Linked DNA regions of Xenopus tropicalis. The main gene of each other region encodes a partner of the protein of the gene in region 2 in a complex. Links are inferred from orthologs where the notes say so. Each region holds a gene or a part of one and is shown on either strand. Other genes may lie near its edges. The genes, in order: lsm3, lsm4, lsm8 and usp39.

Region 1 (4,354 bases), on a different chromosome or scaffold from region 2:
TGAGCGGTAGTTTCTTTTTAGTATGATTCAATTTATAGTTTTCAGTTTAAACCTAGTCCTGTGTTTCTGCCTCTATCTTAAAACTGTTTTTGCTGGATACATAAGAGTTGCCTGTATATTGTTTAACCCCTTAGCTGCAAAGTAATAATCATCTGCTTTTACCACAAATTCTGGTCCCCTTTCTTTTGCAGATGGTGCCGTGATATATTAGCCTCCTTATAATTATGATATTATAAAAAGTACTTTCAAGGAAATGTAAACCCAAGAAAACAGTCTCAAAACTGCCCAGCACTCTATTCAGAGCACTTTTGCAGTTGACTTTTTTCCCCCCCATGTCTTTCGAAGGTTTACATTTCCTTTAAACGAGTAATGGCACTTCTGATTCTATATTCCAGTGAATAAGTTGCAAATATTTAGCAATAGCAGTCTTTTAAGCCACACAATCAAGTGTCAGTGCTTGCAGGGGTACAGAGTATTTGCATGAGTTTAGTAACTCAGCATCCACAGGACCTTTGGGGGGGGGGGGGGGGGGAAGTGTGAAGGGCAGCAGGTCCTCAGGCAACTAAACTCAAGCTTGCTTGATCATTTGTCAATATATGAGAAGACTTGTCATATCTTTGTTGTGCTGGCTCCAAGAACATATATTAGCCAATGCCCGTCTGTTCCATTGTTTACTTTTGCACTTAACCTAGCCCATCAAAATAAAGACTTGTGCAGGGAATGTTAATCTAATGATTGTGATCTGTTCCTCTCATCCACTGACTGATTTAATGACAAAAACGGTCAAGCCCATCTGATCAAATGTTGGGACAATGCAGTTGAAATGATCGTATATTTTACAATCGTTTCCCCCTGAATGTAACAATAAGTTAATAATAAAGCAAATTTTATTGGTTCACTGTAAAGGTGGCCTTACACGCTAAGATCCACTCGCTTTGCGAAGTCACCAAGCAAGCGGATCTTCTCCCAATATCCCCATCTATGGGTGGGCAATATCAGGCTAATTCGGTCGTTTGGCCCCAGGGTCAAATGTCCGAATTAGGACGACGGCCATAGGCGTCTGTCTGTTTGGGGACTGCATTAACGAGCCAATGCAGTCCCCGATCAGACTGATTTTTAAACCTGCCTGATCGAGATCTGCCCGATGTCAGTTGGGCAGGCCTGTCGTTAATGCCCATACACGGCCAATAAGCTGCCGAATTGGTCTAAGGGACTGATATCGGCAGCTAGAATCAGCCCATGTATGGCCACCTTAAAACTGGTTGTTTCACATGACAAAATCTGCTTGTGTATGGGCACCTTTATTGTTTTGAGCAGTCAGATTTGATCTACAGTTACCAAATAGCATTTCTTTTCTCCCCTGCATGGGATTGTAAGGTCTGTGGGGCAGGGACCTCCTTCCTCTTGTCTAGGACACTTAGCACTATACCTTTAATGTAACTGTACTATTTGTATTTTAATTATAAATAAAGCCCAGAGTGTAGTTTCACTAGTGTGAAGTACAATACTCTTGTATTTGTGTCTTGTTGTTTTTTTATTATTATTTTTGACACTGGCTAACACGGTACTACAGTTTTTGTTTTGTAACCTGAGCTATTAAAACCTTACAGTTTTCATTTTTTGTCTTGTTTGAACTTTAGATTTAAGGAATGCTTGTGGTGTCTTTAATAAAAAGCCAAAATGACAGACTTAGGTTATAGATTTAGACCCGCTTGGGCAGCCAATAGGGTAGTGAACCAGCTGCCTAGCCAGTAGTTATTTAGTTTGCTCCCAAAAACATGCACCACCTCCATACAGCTTTCAAACTGCTGAGCTTTGGCAGTGATGAAATGTATGTTGTGTTCTTCCAATCAACATGGATTGACACATTAGTAAATTAGGAGACATGTTGGATAAATGGGAAAACCCCTCATTTTGTAGGCAATTATGAATAATATCCGGTGCTGGTTTCATTTTGGGCTAAACATTAACCCTATCTGTAACAATGGCCCCTTTATTGGAGCTCCCTATAGATCCTCTCAGGTCCCTGTCTGTGTTTCAAATGAGGGGTGGGCGTGTCCTAACGGTCCCTGCTAGAAGAACAGTAGGAGGGGGAGAGCCAATCACAGCCCTGCACTCACAAAAGCACAGACAGGCTTCAGTTCCCTATCAGGTCAGCCTAGCTGCTGATTGGTTCCTATCTTAGAGTGCCCCGGCTCCCCTGCACATCCAGAGAATTCAGCCAGCAGGAAGTGGAACAGATGGGCGGGGCTAGTGGGGTTTGGGGGGATTCTCAAATCAGTCCGAAACAACTTTTTTTTTTTTTAAGCACAATCCTATATCTAGGAGTATAATTCACTAGTATATTCTTAAATTTTATAGGATGTGTCCCTAAAAAACAGGAGTCAAGAGTCAATTGGGAGATAAACTCAGAAATCTGAGGTATAGAAACTAAAACAAGCCTTGTGCTTCTATTGTTTGAATATATTGACGCCATCAGCCACACAGAACATACATTTCATTTTACTCCTGACCACAACAACTGGGTTTTTAATCAGATTTACATCGCTAGTTATGAATATAAACACACTCCACCGGTGCTTCACGATTAAAAAAAAAAAAAGGCTTTGAAATAAAAGAGAAAACAGTCCAGTTTGAATAAACATTCACTTAATTCCCCGCAACATAAAAAAACCCTATACGCGTTCCCAAGCGAGACCGGGCCAGGAGCACCCCTTATGCCGCACTGCGCCGAGAACCGAACAGAACCTGTTTTCCAGTCTTATAAACCCACATCCCTACCTGCTCTCCGTCGTCCGCCATCTTCAAAACCCCGCGCAAAGGAAATAGCCGAGAACCCTGACAATTCTCCTATCGCGATATTTATGTGCCACAGGAAGAATGTGAAGCTCGGCCAATAGCGTGAGAGTATGGGCAGTAAGTGGCGGAGGCCTGGATGTGACGCTTGGCCAATAGCGTGAGAGTATGGGCAGTAAGTGACGGAGGCCGGAATGTGTAGCTCAGCCAATAGTGTGAGAGTATGGGCAGTAAGAGGCGGAGGCCTGGATGTGAAGCTCGGCCAATAGCGTAAGAGTATGGGCAGTAAGTGGCGGAGGCCTGGATGTGACGCTTGGCCAATAGCGTGAGAGTATGGGCAGTAAGTGACGGAGGCCGGAATGTGTAGCTCAGCCAATAGTGTGAGAGTATGGGCAGTAAGAGGCGGAGGCCTGGATGTGAAGCTCGGCCAATAGCGTAAGAGTATGGGCAGTAAGTGACGGAGGCCGGAATGTGAAGCTCAGCCAATAATGTGAGAGTATGGGCAGTAAGTGTCGGAGGCCGGAATGTGAAGCTCAGCCAATAATGTGAGAGTATGGGCAGTAAGTGGCGGAGGCCTGGCAGCGGGGTGCACATGTGTATGTTCCGGAAGTGACGCGTTAATGTTATTGTCTGAGACAGATTGTTTCCTGTTGTGTGGGTTATACAACCAGAGGGGACATGTGAGGTAGAATTGTGGGGAGATGGCAAAGCGGAGGGGGTCTGAGGGTGCTGCGGTAGCGGGGAACAAGCAGAGAAACCGCCCGGCAATAGACTCCCTGCATGGTGGTGAGTTTCTATGGGGTCTGCATGTCTATAGAGATTTTCATTCATCTTGTGAATGATATACAGTAACACGTAAAATGAAATCTAAACACAGACTTAATTCACAGACTTAAATAGACTTAATTCTTATAGGTACTGTATGGGGACACTGTGCAGAGTTTCTAAATAGGCTGGGAATAATACTGTAGTGAGTGCAGATTGAACCCTATGGGCATCAGCCCTGTACTATTCACTATACTGGTTTTAAGATTCTTCTATGATTGCTAAGGTAACCCCTAGAAACCAGATAAATTAAATACAAACCTTGACAACATAATTCAGAGACCAGATGAAATAAAAAATAAAGACCAGTTGCAGATTGTGTTAGTATTATGCCATCTGGACAATATTAAAAGATAGGCAGAGTTAGCCCTTGAATTGTGCATGGGCTTTTATTTCTGTGCTAAATGATTAACTACCAATGCTTTGGGCTCTGGTGGAACATTACAGGTCGTTTGCACTTAGCTCTTCATCCTTCCTATTTAATAAAGGGGCATCTTGTTTTAACCATGTAGATGACGAAGATAAATTCTATGAAGAGAAGAGACCCCCAGTTAAGAAGAGTAAAGATTCCTGCGGTGACAGTCTGACGAAGCAAAGTTGTGTAGCCAAGAGACCGACTGTAAATGATGGGAAAACAGTTGGAAAACAAACACAGTGAGTCATCTTGGTTGAGTTGATTGGTTTTACAACAATGCAGGAGAGATGCACTAAGTCTGCTCCATGTTTGCTTATT
Region 2 (4,194 bases):
CCCACTGATTGTTTAGAGCAAGGCTGTCAGACTGAAAGCCAAAAGAACAAATGTGGAGCTTTTTTTAGGGCCCTCCACAAGGACAATATCTCCTTCAATTTGTTTCATTGTTTCATCTTTTTTTTTACCCTGCTGTTGCAGAGGGGCCTACGAGTGTAGGCAGTCCAGCGGAGCCATAACTAATGAGCAATTTCAATATATCTTGATAGAATAGGTCAATTTACCAGTGTTTTGGACCCAAGTGTGTGAGGCCTGTAGAAAATAACCCATTTACATAGGTTTCAAAACTCTGTACTTACTAAAGTCATTAAAGTGAGACCTTAGGATTAACTTTAACTCAGGCATATACAACTGGATTCTAATACAAGCTACACCTTGCCACAGATTGTTTCTTTTTTTAATTTTTTTTATGCAAAAAATGATATTCTAATGCTTGAAACAAAAACATATGTGGATGCTAAGAATCAAAAAGCTTTTTTGAAATCAAACTGCAAGGTAAAAATAAGGGGGGGATGAAAGGAATAATAATAATAATACGACCTGTAATAATAAAATAAAGCTTTACATTAAATCTGTTGTAGTTGCCAGGGTCAAGGATCCCAACAACTTGACAGTATTTGTATCTTCAGACTGAAAAAAGCCAAAAAGGAAGAGCCCCTGGCCAGGTCCAGCTATAACATGCCTAATGCCAATGCAACAGTTAACTTCCCCTTTGAAACAAGCCCACCAATAAGGAGCATTTAATTATTTATGATGCTACTCCAATTTCTGCCTATCTTGTTTATTACACACTTGCAATATAAGAGGTTTTAAGCAACATATTTATACTGTCAATTTTGCTATCTGTGGTGTGCTGGATGGCACATTATTAAAGATGCAGAACTTATTTTATTTCAATAATGATGTGTCCTTTTAAATAATATAATATATAATAAATAATACTATAATAATAATAATAATAAGCATCCTTGTTGACCTTAATTACATAAAAGCTATTACCATACAGTAGAATTTATGCCAAAATTTCACACTTCAATAGTAAGCATATGAAACAAAATTAAAACCAGTGTAGTGCTTATCTTATTATTATACTAACTACTGAACTTTCTAACCAAGTTTAATACAGATGCATGACTTTTTGCACAATTTTTTAATTTGGGACTTTGCATTCACTTATTATGTTTAAAATGTAATCTGTTTTTACCCAATAATGAACAATGCCCCATGATGTAAGTTAAAAAAGTAAGATTGCTAAGACCTTTCAAAAAGAAAATCTAAATGATATGCTGTGTCACTAACTCTTTATAAATGCATACTTTCAGAGCACATGATGGACATTGCCAAGGGAAAACTATACCCCCAAACAATGCAGGTCTCTAAAATAATATTTTACAAAAAGCAGATCATAGTTAAAGCACTGCTTCATCAAAATACACAATTTTCATAAAAATATACTTTTGTAGCAGTATGTGACCATGGATAATTCTAAGTTAAAAAAAAAGTCATTTTAATTACTAAGGGCCACCCCCTGTTATGAAATGATTCACAGTGCACACAAACACACATATATGTTAGGGTACATGAGCCAATTAATGGGGACAGTTCTGACTTTTACTCCCACATTTCTTCCTGTTACAGGTAGAGCTGCATTATTAAATAACAATTAGTAAGATTGAGAAAGAAAACCTAAGATGTATCTCACTGAAAGGTCCTGAAATACCATACAATAATTAAACACATTATTCAGTGAAAAACACAACCATTTATTGGCTCAGAATTTAAATACAAAATTCAAAAAACATAACATAAAACATACTATACCAAATGGAAGGTACATCCCATGCTACCTGGCACCCTTTCTCCTTCCTAACGCGTTTCGCACACTAAGTGCTTCATCAGAGGAATGCCCATGTCACTTCCCTTTTTATACCCAAAACTTTTAATTTGCACATTTTTCAGGGTTACCATTAAGGCCCTGTAACAAGCATATATCATACATTACTATATCAAAAGCTTTTTCGGGGTTACCATTAAAGCCCTGTAATAAGCACATACTATATCAAAGCTTCAAATATACATCTTACAGGGCCTCCCAAAGAAAAACCGCCCGCCCTGTACTAAGCACAAATTATACAAGTTAATCAAAAAAGTGAAATCTAAAACTTATAATTAAATGTGAAAAGATATGAATAATATCTTAATACACACTAGAGCTGCATTATTCCCTGACGTGATCTCTGAGGGAGCACACAGCCCATCACTAAATGGTGGCTCAATGTGGAAAAGGCCAATATTAACCAATATATATTCCAATTTGGTAACATTCTTTAATAGGTTCCTTTTTAGTAAATAATGTATCTGTTGGTTAAGTACTCAGTCAGGGGGTATAGTTTGCCTATAATATATGTAAAATATTTAATTCTCAGACCAGTATCCAAAAATCCCCCTTCACTGATTATATGAGCCAATCAATTATCTAAAGAAAACATGTTGCACAAGAGGTCCTTCCACCAGCTTCTCCCTAACCCAGACAAATAAAGCTGCAGAGCTCGCCCGCAACGGGACCCTGATAGAACTAAAAAAAACCCGAGACGATTCTGTGTAACAATGAGTTAACAGGACAGGCGGGAACATACATGCCGGCTAGGAGTGACAGAGAAACTAGTAAGACTAAATGGTTATAACATGCCCAAATTGTAAGCACACAAATCAAGTATATCGCCATTTCTAGCTATAAGAACAACGCAGGCGAATGTAGTCAAACCCCGTGTCCCACCCAGGTAACTCGCCATGTTTCGCTCTGTACCGCGCTCCCTCACGGTCACTTCCGCCCGTTGCTCAGACAACAAGCGCAGAGACTGTTGGGCAAAGGAAGCCTTTGGTGACACCTTCCTGTACCAATAGTATCGGGCTAGTCCTATCCACCAATGGTGGTGTCGAATAAACAGGCCATGTGATCATAAGGCGCTGCCATCGTGGTTAAGGGAAAGAGGAGTTCTGTAGTTTCTGCTTATAGGGAACTGACGTAGAAAAACAAACATTTATTTGGTGCAGAGGGGATTATATAGTATTCTAAAATTAGTATGACTAAGCGAACAAAGGGAAGTGTGGTTTCTGGTAGTTGTGGAAGGGTAGTCTGCTATTCATTATATCTAGTCACAGCGCGCTAAAGGACATGTCAACCCCCCAAAAATGTTTTGCCTAATAAAAGAAAACAATTCTAAGCAACTTTCCAATATCAATTTATTAAAGATTATTAGTGCTTTAAAAGTTATTTGTAAATGTAATGTAATGCTATAGAAAGCAGCATTTGCTGAACTCCTGGTTGTTACATTTTAAACAATGTTGCAAGTGCCAGGCTCCTCCAGCAAGTCAGGTCTGTAAAATCTGCTGGTGTTTGTTACATTGTTTCAAACACCAGACCCCTCAGGGTAGAGAATAAAAAGGACAAGCAGACACTGCTTTTAATAGCTGGTATATATATACAAATAACTCAAAAACCATTACAAATATGTAATGAATGTATATTGCAAAGTTGCTTAGAATTAAGTTTTCTTTTATTAGGAAAAAGATTATTTTTGGGTTTGACATATATTTGAAAAATATTAATCCTGTTTATTAAAATCACTTACTTGATGCCCTGGGAAAGTGCTCCTATTAGCTGAAAACTGCACTGGACCAGGGTATTTCTGAAGAAGCTCTTTTGGTGCAATCTTCTCTTCTGCCTTCATTTCTTTGGGCGCGTTAGGGCGAAAAAGCTCAGTTTTTCACTTTACTGCTTATATGCCTGCCTGGACTGGAACAAAGAAGTCAAACAATATGGTGAAGAGCAGCTTCTTTAGAAATACCCTAAGCCAGTGCAATTTTGTAGGGAACAGGAGGACCAGCCTGGGGTATCAGGCAAGCAATTAGATTTAATGTGGGTTGCTAATAATCTATGGAAAAAGAAATTCACATTCCAACTAGGGATGTCATCTTTTCATTTAGCTAAATCCGGAAGGTAGGCAGGGCGGGTGACATCAGGGGGGTTGTAGGTGATGTCGTAGAGTCGTTAGTGCTTTAAGGGGGTGTAGCTATGACCTGGAGATCACTAATTGGCCGATCATTTGGGGCTTAGAATTTAGGCTAGTGCCACATGGGGATAATTCTCGGCCTTTGGAAAAATGCAGTCTGAGAATCAGCCCCTATGCTGGC
Region 3 (4,316 bases), on a different chromosome or scaffold from region 2:
AAAATAAAGTGTGAGTTAGAGATCAGGATTCACTGAGCCCCAGACAAGACATCATCATAAGCAAAATAAAAAAGCAGCTCCTTAGGATCATTAAATCCTTCTAGATATGGCTATGCATTCACTTTGTGTAGTGCTTAAAAATGCAGCTATAGCAAAGGTTGAACTTGCCACAACCAGAACTTCAGGACCAAAGTGTAATGTCAACAGAAGGTGAAAAATGAGCATCTGTACCTAGCCAAGCACTTTGATACAAAACACAGTACAGATAGAAGCACTGCTTCATTAGATTTGCTTATTCTCCTCCAAAGGATCTTGGGCCTGGCTCCACCTACAGATACATGCTGAGGAAATATATGAATGTAATTCTAATAGCAAATATTAAGCAAGTAAAGTAAATAAATACTTACCACAATCATTCTACCATCTGATGTAATTACAGCTACAGTTCCTGAATCTTATGTCAAGGAATTATTTTAATCTGTAAAACGTTATCATAAAAAATATAGAGCACCATTTTCAAAGTGAAACGAGTTCTTTATAATGCATCATCTACTGTAATGTGTGCGATTCCCTTAACTACAACATATTCACATTTTCTCTAAGGTTGGACAATGGCATAAAACACATTACAGGGTAGTCAGGCTACAGGGGCCACAAGTGAAGTTAATATTACGAATTTTTGGACCATGGATCCTTGAAAAAATAAAAAGTCTACTTCAACACCTCATAATATAATGTTGGAAAAAGCATTTTGAAGTTTGCAAAAATTATTTTTAATGTATTCAATTTTGTATCCAGAAGTGCAGCTTACATTCCCGTCTCTTCTAACATGTAATTTATATTACTCTGGGAGTCAGCTTTGTAACCCAGAATTTGGTTTAGAATGAAGGATGCCTCCCTCCTTTAATTTACTATTTATTGCATATCGTCAGTATACTGTATAGTGCCCAATGGGGTACATCACTCAGCTTAAGAGCCCCCAGGGCTGTGGAGTCAGTACACAAATCCTCAGTTTATGATACCTCTGACTTCCGGTACCCAATATTGCTTATTGCTCTAAGATCCCCTGTTGTATATAATCATGCAAAATGTTTTCTCCACTTTTGCTTTTAATGCATTATATAAACCTGTAGTACAGGTATGGGATCCCTTATCCGGAAACCCGTTATCCAGAAAGTTCCGAATTACAGGAAGGTCATCTGCCATAGATGCCATTTTAATCAAATAATTCCGATTTTTAAAAATGGCTGCTCTGTAATAATAAAACAGTACCTTGTACTTGATCCCAACTAAGATAGAATGAATCCTTATTGGATGCAAATCAACCTTATTGGGTTTATTTAATGTTTAAATTATTTCTTAGTAGACTTAAAGGAACAGTAACACCAAAAAATGTATATATTTTAAAGAAATTAAACTATAACGTACTGCTGCGCTGCATTGGTAAAAATTGTGTGTTTGCTTCAGAAACATTACTAGAGTTTATATAAACCCTGGTGTGTAGCCATGGGGGCAGCCATTCAAAAGAAGAAAAGGCACAGGTTATACAGCAGCTAACAGATAAACCCTGTAGAATACAATGGTGTCTTATCTGTTATTTGCTATGTAACCTGTGCCTTTTCTCCTTTTTTCCAGCTTGAATGGCTGCCCCCATGGCTACACAGCAGTGTATTTATATAAACTATAGTAGTGTTCCTGAAGCAAACACCCGAGTTTTACCATTGCAGGGCAACAGTGCGTTATATTTCAATTACTTTAAAACACTTTCATTTTATGCTGTTACTGTTCCTTTAAGGTAGGAGATCCAAATTACAGAAAGACCGCTTATCCGGAAAACCCCAAGTCCAGGACATTCTGGTTAACAGGCCCCGTACCTGTAATAAAACGCTATACTGATGTACTGAAAAATTCTCACTTTTTTTTATTGAAAAATGAAATACTTTTCCTACTAGCCGCACAATAGTGTATTACTGTATATTACTGAATGTCAGTGCTTCTGGACCACAGCAGTTTTCCTACTAGAGTTCTAATTTAACATAGAATAATATAGCCAAGCAAATGTAACATAGGCAAACCCGTGCTCCATGTATAATATCATCCCCTCACTCCATGTATAATATCATCCCCTCGCATTAGATTTGAGCATTTCACACTATAGGTAAGTTACAGGGGGAAAGGGCACTAACAGGCATTCATTTAAAAGGGAGGTTTAAAATGAATACCACCTGTTATACTTTCAGCTGGCTAAAAAATAAAAAAACAGACGCTAACTGGTAATTGGTTGCTAGGGGTTACAGCCCAGGTCAACATTGGCCCTGTGATAAGTAAGTCGGGGTTCCCCCAGGGAATACAGGAACCGGACGATAAACTGTAATTAAAGCTACTTAGGACCCTCAGACGAATGATGAAGTAACATGCATCCCCCACATACTGTATTTCTCTAGCACAAGTCGCTTTCCAAACAATAGCCCCCAAGCCGTGCTAGGCTACATTTCCCACAATACCCCGGTATCAGAGAGTTGTAGCAGCCGAGCTCAGAGAGCAGGGGAGACTGCTAATCTGCATGTTTATTCTGACCGTCGGGTTAAAAGTCGCACACCATAGGTTCTCAGTGCAAGCCCTCCGCATATTATGCCAACAACCCCAACAAAGGATACGGTTGATATAATTCTCCAAAGCTGATGCCATATTGGAATCGTATCCGCTGCAACTACAAACACACGCGCAGGAAATCCACGGCTCTAGCGAGGAAATTCTACGTCATTGTTAGGCGACTGAGCAAAGCCCCGCCCCTTAGTGAAAGGAGCAAGTGCGCGTTATCTGAAGTTTGCATTCATTTTGTGCGTGTGTGTGTGCGTTGGTTTCTTAATGATAGCGTATTTCTGAGCTGGGAAGATAATAGGAGGGAATATTGTATGGGAAAATGCTTTGACTCCAGTTATGATGTTAGATAACTAACGTTTCTGATGTGGTAAAGATCGCATATGTAATCAGCGCCGAATCCATTGTAAAGGGTTTGGTAGAATACCTAACTGAATCCGAATTAGCAGGTGCTAATTAGGTTATGGAAGGGTTAAATCTTCATTAGCATATGCTGATTAGGTTACGGAGAGGTTACATTTTCAAAAGGCCGAATCCTGGATTCAGTGCATCCCTAGTAATCAGGTTTATTTTGGAGAGAGAAACCTATTGCTAGAAGTGAAATTATGTTTTTGAACCATGGGTTAAAGCAATACTGTCATGGGAATACGTGTTTATTATATAATTAATAATAACACATGGGGCTAGCCATTTCCTTACTAGTCCAGGTGGCCCTGCTCTAAATACTTGTCTTTTTTTACTGCTGCACTGCAAGTTGGAGTGATGTCACCCCCCCCCCCTTCCCTTTCCTCTGGTGAAGGATTCAGCTGCCTGAACTGATAGTGCCTCCATAGGCTAATAGCACTGCTTGTGCTGTCTTGAGTTTTAGGGGCACATTTACTAATCCACAAATGCTCCGAATGTGTTTTTTTCGTAATGATCGGTATTTTGCGATTTTTTTCGTAAATTGTCACGACTTTTTCGTAACCATTATGATTTGCGCAAATTATCGCAACTTTTTCGGAGCCGTCGCGCCGAGTACAAAAGTTTCGGATTCATTCAAGCTTCAGTATCATGACTTTTCTTGGGCCAGGTTGGAGCTGTAGAGTACCATTGAGTCCTATGGGAGGCTTCCAAAATCATGCAAAGTCTGAAAGGTTTGCCCGCCATTTACGAGCGCTCAATACAAAAAAGTTGCGACAATATACGAGCAAATCGTAACGGCTACGAAAAAGTCGCGACAATTCGCGCAAGTCGTAATGGTTACGAAAAAGTTGTAACGGCGACGAAAAAAATCGCAAAAAATACGAAAAAGTCGCAAAATGTTCGTTTTCCAATCTGAATTTTTCCCATTCGGATTCGTGGATTAGTAAATCAGCCCCTTAGTGAGCAGGTAAACAGGCAAAACTGCCTATACTCCATCCCAATAATTTAAGGTGGCTTTAGGCATTTCTCTGCCAGCTAATATACACTAGCTAATATACACTAGCCACACCTAGTGGTTGATATGACCCTTAAAGTCACCTAAAATAAATGGGTGTCAGTAATAACGTCTCCCTACTTAATGGACTGGTAGCAACAAAAAATTAATGTTTTATGTGCATTAAGAGGAGACCCAGACTCACGAGGGGTTAGGTACACTGTAGAAATGATGTTTTTCTCTAAGTCGAGTGGCCATTTTTAACCAGCTTAACCAAAGTGATCGTCTGGGAGAGGTGCTTTGACAGACTGGAGTT
Region 4 (4,203 bases), on a different chromosome or scaffold from region 2:
GAAAAACTGGAGCGAGACCTGAAATGTTCAGATAAACAGAAAAAAACAGGACAGAGGGGTGGAGATATTCACCTTGCTTGGTGATCTGGAAATTTTTCTTGCTGCAAAGAACAACAGCCTGGAGCATCTCATGTGGGGAGACATGAGCCTTAAAATTCCTGGGGTTCCACAGTTTGCGCATTAATTCCCCAAATCTCTGCACAAGCAGGAACATGATATCCCCAGGAGGGCGCTTAATATCACAATAATTCTCTTCCTCCAGAAAGTAATTTCTCAGAGGAGGAACATTGGAGAGAGCCTGGAAGTGACCATAAAGAAATTAGTGTACATTGGCCATGAAATCTGCACTATGGTCTGTGGGAGCAAAAGTGTTTAAAGTGTTTCAGACTGATGAATGTTAGGGCATCCAGTGAAATAGATGAGAGATGATTCTCTGCTGCAGTGAAGGTGAGGTGGTTAACTGTTACACAGGCCCTGTATATTGTGAAAATTCCTACCTGCAAAACAGCATTGGCATAATCATTAGCTTTGATATTGTTAAGTCCCACGATGCCTGGGAGGTAAGTGGTACCATCATATGCTCGAGAAAGCTTGGCCTGTTTGTCTAAGTTACCAATTTGCTGCTTGGTGAAGGTTGGCTTCAGCACATACTGTAGAAGACAAAGAGATAGTTACTAAAAACATGAAAAGCAAAGTTAATATGGGGGGGGGGGGGTGACACAGTTGAACAGACAGAGACAGTATAGAAATAATGTGCACATTTTACAAAGCCCTTTACTTCTGTAAGAACAGCTACCTTTCTCTCTTATGGCCTGAGGCCATCTATGTTCTCAATCCAAGGAGAAACCCAGTCCTTGTTTCCATGTGTAGATTCACACTTATATAAAAAAAAAAAAAAAAAAAAAAAAAAAAAAAAGAACTTTGAAAGACTGTACTGAAGAATGGGGGCCAGCCAAAGGAAGGGGAAAAATGCTAAGGCAACAGGCAGCTAGTGGAGCTAGACATTTCTGCCATCACTGGGCTTATGTTTCCCTGTTACTGACCATAAAATCTGCTTTTTGATGTATGCCCTGCTGTGTGTTGCATGATCAGAGCAGTACAGGTGATCCATGGCTCTTTTGCGGATAATATGCTATTCTACCTTTCCCATCCTAATTGCTGGCTGTGGTTGAACTCACTAAAGGAGACGTATGTGTTGTGATAGACACATCAAGTTAGTGAAGGGATTGTTGCTCTTGAGTATAAGAGTCTAAGAGTATAAGAGTCTTTAACTTACCGACACCTGTGTTATATAAGTCAACAGTGCACTCTAAAAACTCTGGGAACGCCATACCACTTGTACTGGGCACTAAGATTGCACCTTGGGCAAATATGAACTGGGCCATCCTGATTTTTTGTCTTCATATTAGAAAATGCCAAGGTCACATAAACAAATGGGGCAAGAGAGGATGTGCAAGTACCGTAATGTCTTCCAGGGAGGAGTCAATGATATTATAGTTGTCCGGCAGGCAGTAGAACTTCAGTGTGTGCAGATTAAGGAAAACATGGTGACTGAACTGAACACTGTGGATATAGGCATGGGACTTCAAGCCTCGACCTTGGGGGGGGAAAAAAAAAAAAAAAAGAGAAAAATTTGACAAAATAAGGGCTCATCTGAACAACACACTCTGTGCCACTTACTTACCCTGGAAGTATTTCCCGCATACAAGGCAAGCATATGCATTAATGTGAGAAAGAGAGATGGAACACAGCTTCTCAAAATCAAAGTCCAAGACACTCCTGGTAAGAACAGAACCAGTGTTATTTGTGAGCAGTACATAATCAACACAGTCCCAAGCAAAACAACCAGACTGACCTGTTAATGGTATCCAGATATGGGCAATGGCGACTACGTCTGTCTTCAAAGTCATACCGCCCGTGCTTTCCTACAACTGCCAGCATTACATGCACGTGTTATATATATGTTATATGTACAGTTCTGAAGTTAAACATGCACAATTCACCTGTATCACCCACTTAAACTGCTTGGCCTGCAAATCACACTTGGATTGCCAGGAAAACATTATGGAAGAGTGACACTGCCATTACTTGGGCTAAAATCACAGGTAGGGATCAGAGGGTGGCAGCAAATGTGAACCTAGTTTCATACAGAAATTAATGACCTAAATGGTCCAATCAGCCATCCTTGTGTCCAGCTTTAGAGGTACCATGCTGGGACACCATGCACAGACATGGCCGGAGCACTGACAAAACAGGTTTAATGATCCTGTTTTGGGGGGGATTCCATATTTTCTCGGTGGGGGCCCTAGTAATGGTGGGGGCCCCGGTAATGGTGGGGGCCCCGGTAATGGTGGGGGCCCCGGTAATGGTGGGGGCCCCGGTAATGGTGGGGGCCCCGGTAATGGTGGGGGCCCCGGTAATGGTGGGGGCCCTAGTAATGGTGGGGGCCCTTGTAATGGTGGGGGCCCTAGTAATGGTGGGGGCCCTAGTAATGGTGGGGGCCCTGGTAATGGTGGGGGCCCCGGTAATGGTGGGGGCCCCGGTAATGGTGGGGGCCCTAGTAATGGTGGGGGCCCTAGTAATGGTGAGGGCCCTGGAGAAATTCCTTCTCTGACACAGTGACAGACACAAGCGGAGGAAGCACATATTTATTATCCCCCCACGCTAACACATGTGCACCACTCTTTTTCATTCGCTTTTACTCAATCAATCCGTTACACTATTCACACCAAGTCGCATCAATAGAATGAGTTTCCCTCACCTCTCTCATCATCATCATCGTCGTCGTCTTCCTCCTCCATCTCCAGTTTCACCCGCTTCTCAGCGTTCATTCTGCCTCCACCGACTCTCCTGCGTGTCTCGCCTCTCTTTGGACTGAAGCCCCTCCCCCACGCCGCTTCCGTACACTTTCCTATACAACAGGAACGAGTCACGGAACGCTAATGTCAGGGATGCATTGATTGGCTACATTAGCCTTTGTCGAAACAAAAACAGCCAATCGCTATCTCTCCTACAATCGGCTGCGACGGGATAGTTCCTACCAGCGGTAGCTAGGGGGCGGTATTGGGATTGAAAGGGTGCCCGTGTTGGAAGTAGACTAGAGCCGGGAGTATGCAGGAGGAAGTGGAGGTGCAGGGCAAAGCCGGGCCCGGTGGGAGGCTGGATATGAATCACGGCTTCGTTCACCATATCCGGCGGAATCAGATCGCGAGGTAATAGGGCTGGCAGCGGCCGGAACTTTTTCCTTTAAAAAGCAGAAACACTGAGACTGTTCACGTAGTGTTGGCCATGGGGCTGCTTCCATGAAGGTTATACTGGTGCTGTTGGGGCCAATCTATTCATATACCATCCCTGCCATGGCATTGCCTGGTACTTGTGTTCCTAAAGCTGGCAGGACTTCAAATGCACTGAAATATGAACTAGTGTTTCCTTGCTAAATAAATGACAGATTTGCTTCTGAAATTCCAATATTTGTGTAGCCAAACTCCTTTGGGCAGTGGAGGCAGCTGTTCAGTTCCAAAAGGGCTGTCCCATTCATGCTTCTCTAGCGGATTCCTGTTGAGATTTTGAAGTGACCACACCCACTTTTAAAGTCCGCACCTTTTTAAACTTGGATGGGGCTATTTAATAAAAGGCACTAAGTTTTCCCAGGAGCAGCAACTGATGGAACCAGTCAGCAGGTAGAATTTACTGGTCACCTATTGTAAAGCACATATCTTATTGGTTGCTATGGGTTTAGGGTTGCCACGTCTGTCTGTCCGGGTCAAACTCCCTGCCCCATTTTCCAAATGAGGGAAATCGGACAGAACTCCTGGCACCGATCGCCATGTCATAACCCCACCAAATCCCTCAATGTCATAGACCACACCTCCAACATCATCCGCCTCACCCCATGACATCACCGTTCTGCCTCCCACACAGGCATTCCCCAGTCAGAAGATGGCAACCCTATATGGGTTACTGCTCATGGGCAAACTAGGTACCTTTTAGGAACTTTGCAGGAGCCTTGCATGTCAAACTGTCACAGCCATTGGTCTACTAGCATTCTGGGTTGTTTTCAAAATTACTATATACCAGTGTGGGCATGCTCAAAAACAGGGCACTAGCCATTTCCTAACGATTATCACCTGACCCAAGAGTGCACTGGAAGGGCCTAGACTGGTGATTAGTGGTTGGGCATTATAGAACATTTAGTCACCCCTG

The links.
Region 1: lsm4 (region 2) and lsm3 share a complex: the UniProt entries of both Homo sapiens proteins name them as parts of the precatalytic spliceosome. The link is inferred for Xenopus tropicalis from reciprocal best matches to the Homo sapiens genes LSM4 and LSM3.
Region 3: lsm4 (region 2) and lsm8 share a complex: the UniProt entries of both Homo sapiens proteins name them as parts of the precatalytic spliceosome. The link is inferred for Xenopus tropicalis from reciprocal best matches to the Homo sapiens genes LSM4 and LSM8.
Region 4: lsm4 (region 2) and usp39 share a complex: the UniProt entries of both Homo sapiens proteins name them as parts of the U4/U6-U5 tri-snRNP complex. The link is inferred for Xenopus tropicalis from reciprocal best matches to the Homo sapiens genes LSM4 and USP39.

Annotation. Positions count from the first base shown.
Region 1 is NC_030680.2:132,918,345-132,922,698, forward strand, and holds the start of lsm3 (U6 snRNA-associated Sm-like protein LSm3), read right to left. Parts: upstream 2,816-4,354; 5' UTR 2,803-2,815; coding exon 2,782-2,802; intron 1-2,781. Other genes in the region: xpc (DNA repair protein complementing XP-C cells), read left to right, coding at 3,498-3,582, 4,134-4,275. UniProt on the Homo sapiens protein: Plays a role in pre-mRNA splicing as component of the U4/U6-U5 tri-snRNP complex that is involved in spliceosome assembly, and as component of the precatalytic spliceosome (spliceosome B complex).
Region 2 is NC_030677.2:103,364,866-103,369,059, reverse strand, and holds the start of lsm4 (U6 snRNA-associated Sm-like protein LSm4), read right to left. Parts: upstream 2,819-4,194; 5' UTR 2,793-2,818; coding exon 2,790-2,792; exon of another isoform or gene 2,777-2,789; intron 1-2,776. UniProt on the Homo sapiens protein: Plays a role in pre-mRNA splicing as component of the U4/U6-U5 tri-snRNP complex that is involved in spliceosome assembly, and as component of the precatalytic spliceosome (spliceosome B complex).
Region 3 is NC_030679.2:68,680,138-68,684,453, reverse strand, and holds the start of lsm8 (LSM8 homolog, U6 small nuclear RNA associated), read right to left. Parts: upstream 2,815-4,316; 5' UTR 2,689-2,814; coding exon 2,658-2,688; intron 449-2,657; coding exon 408-448; intron 1-407. UniProt on the Homo sapiens protein: Plays a role in pre-mRNA splicing as component of the U4/U6-U5 tri-snRNP complex that is involved in spliceosome assembly, and as component of the precatalytic spliceosome (spliceosome B complex).
Region 4 is NC_030679.2:125,759,357-125,763,559, reverse strand, and holds the start of usp39 (U4/U6.U5 tri-snRNP-associated protein 2), read right to left. Parts: upstream 2,857-4,203; 5' UTR 2,832-2,856; coding exon 2,762-2,831; intron 1,932-2,761; coding exon 1,856-1,931; intron 1,780-1,855; coding exon 1,685-1,779; intron 1,598-1,684; coding exon 1,461-1,597; intron 651-1,460; coding exon 498-650; intron 299-497; coding exon 73-298; intron 1-72. Other genes in the region: UPF0561 protein C2orf68 homolog, read left to right, coding at 3,112-3,212.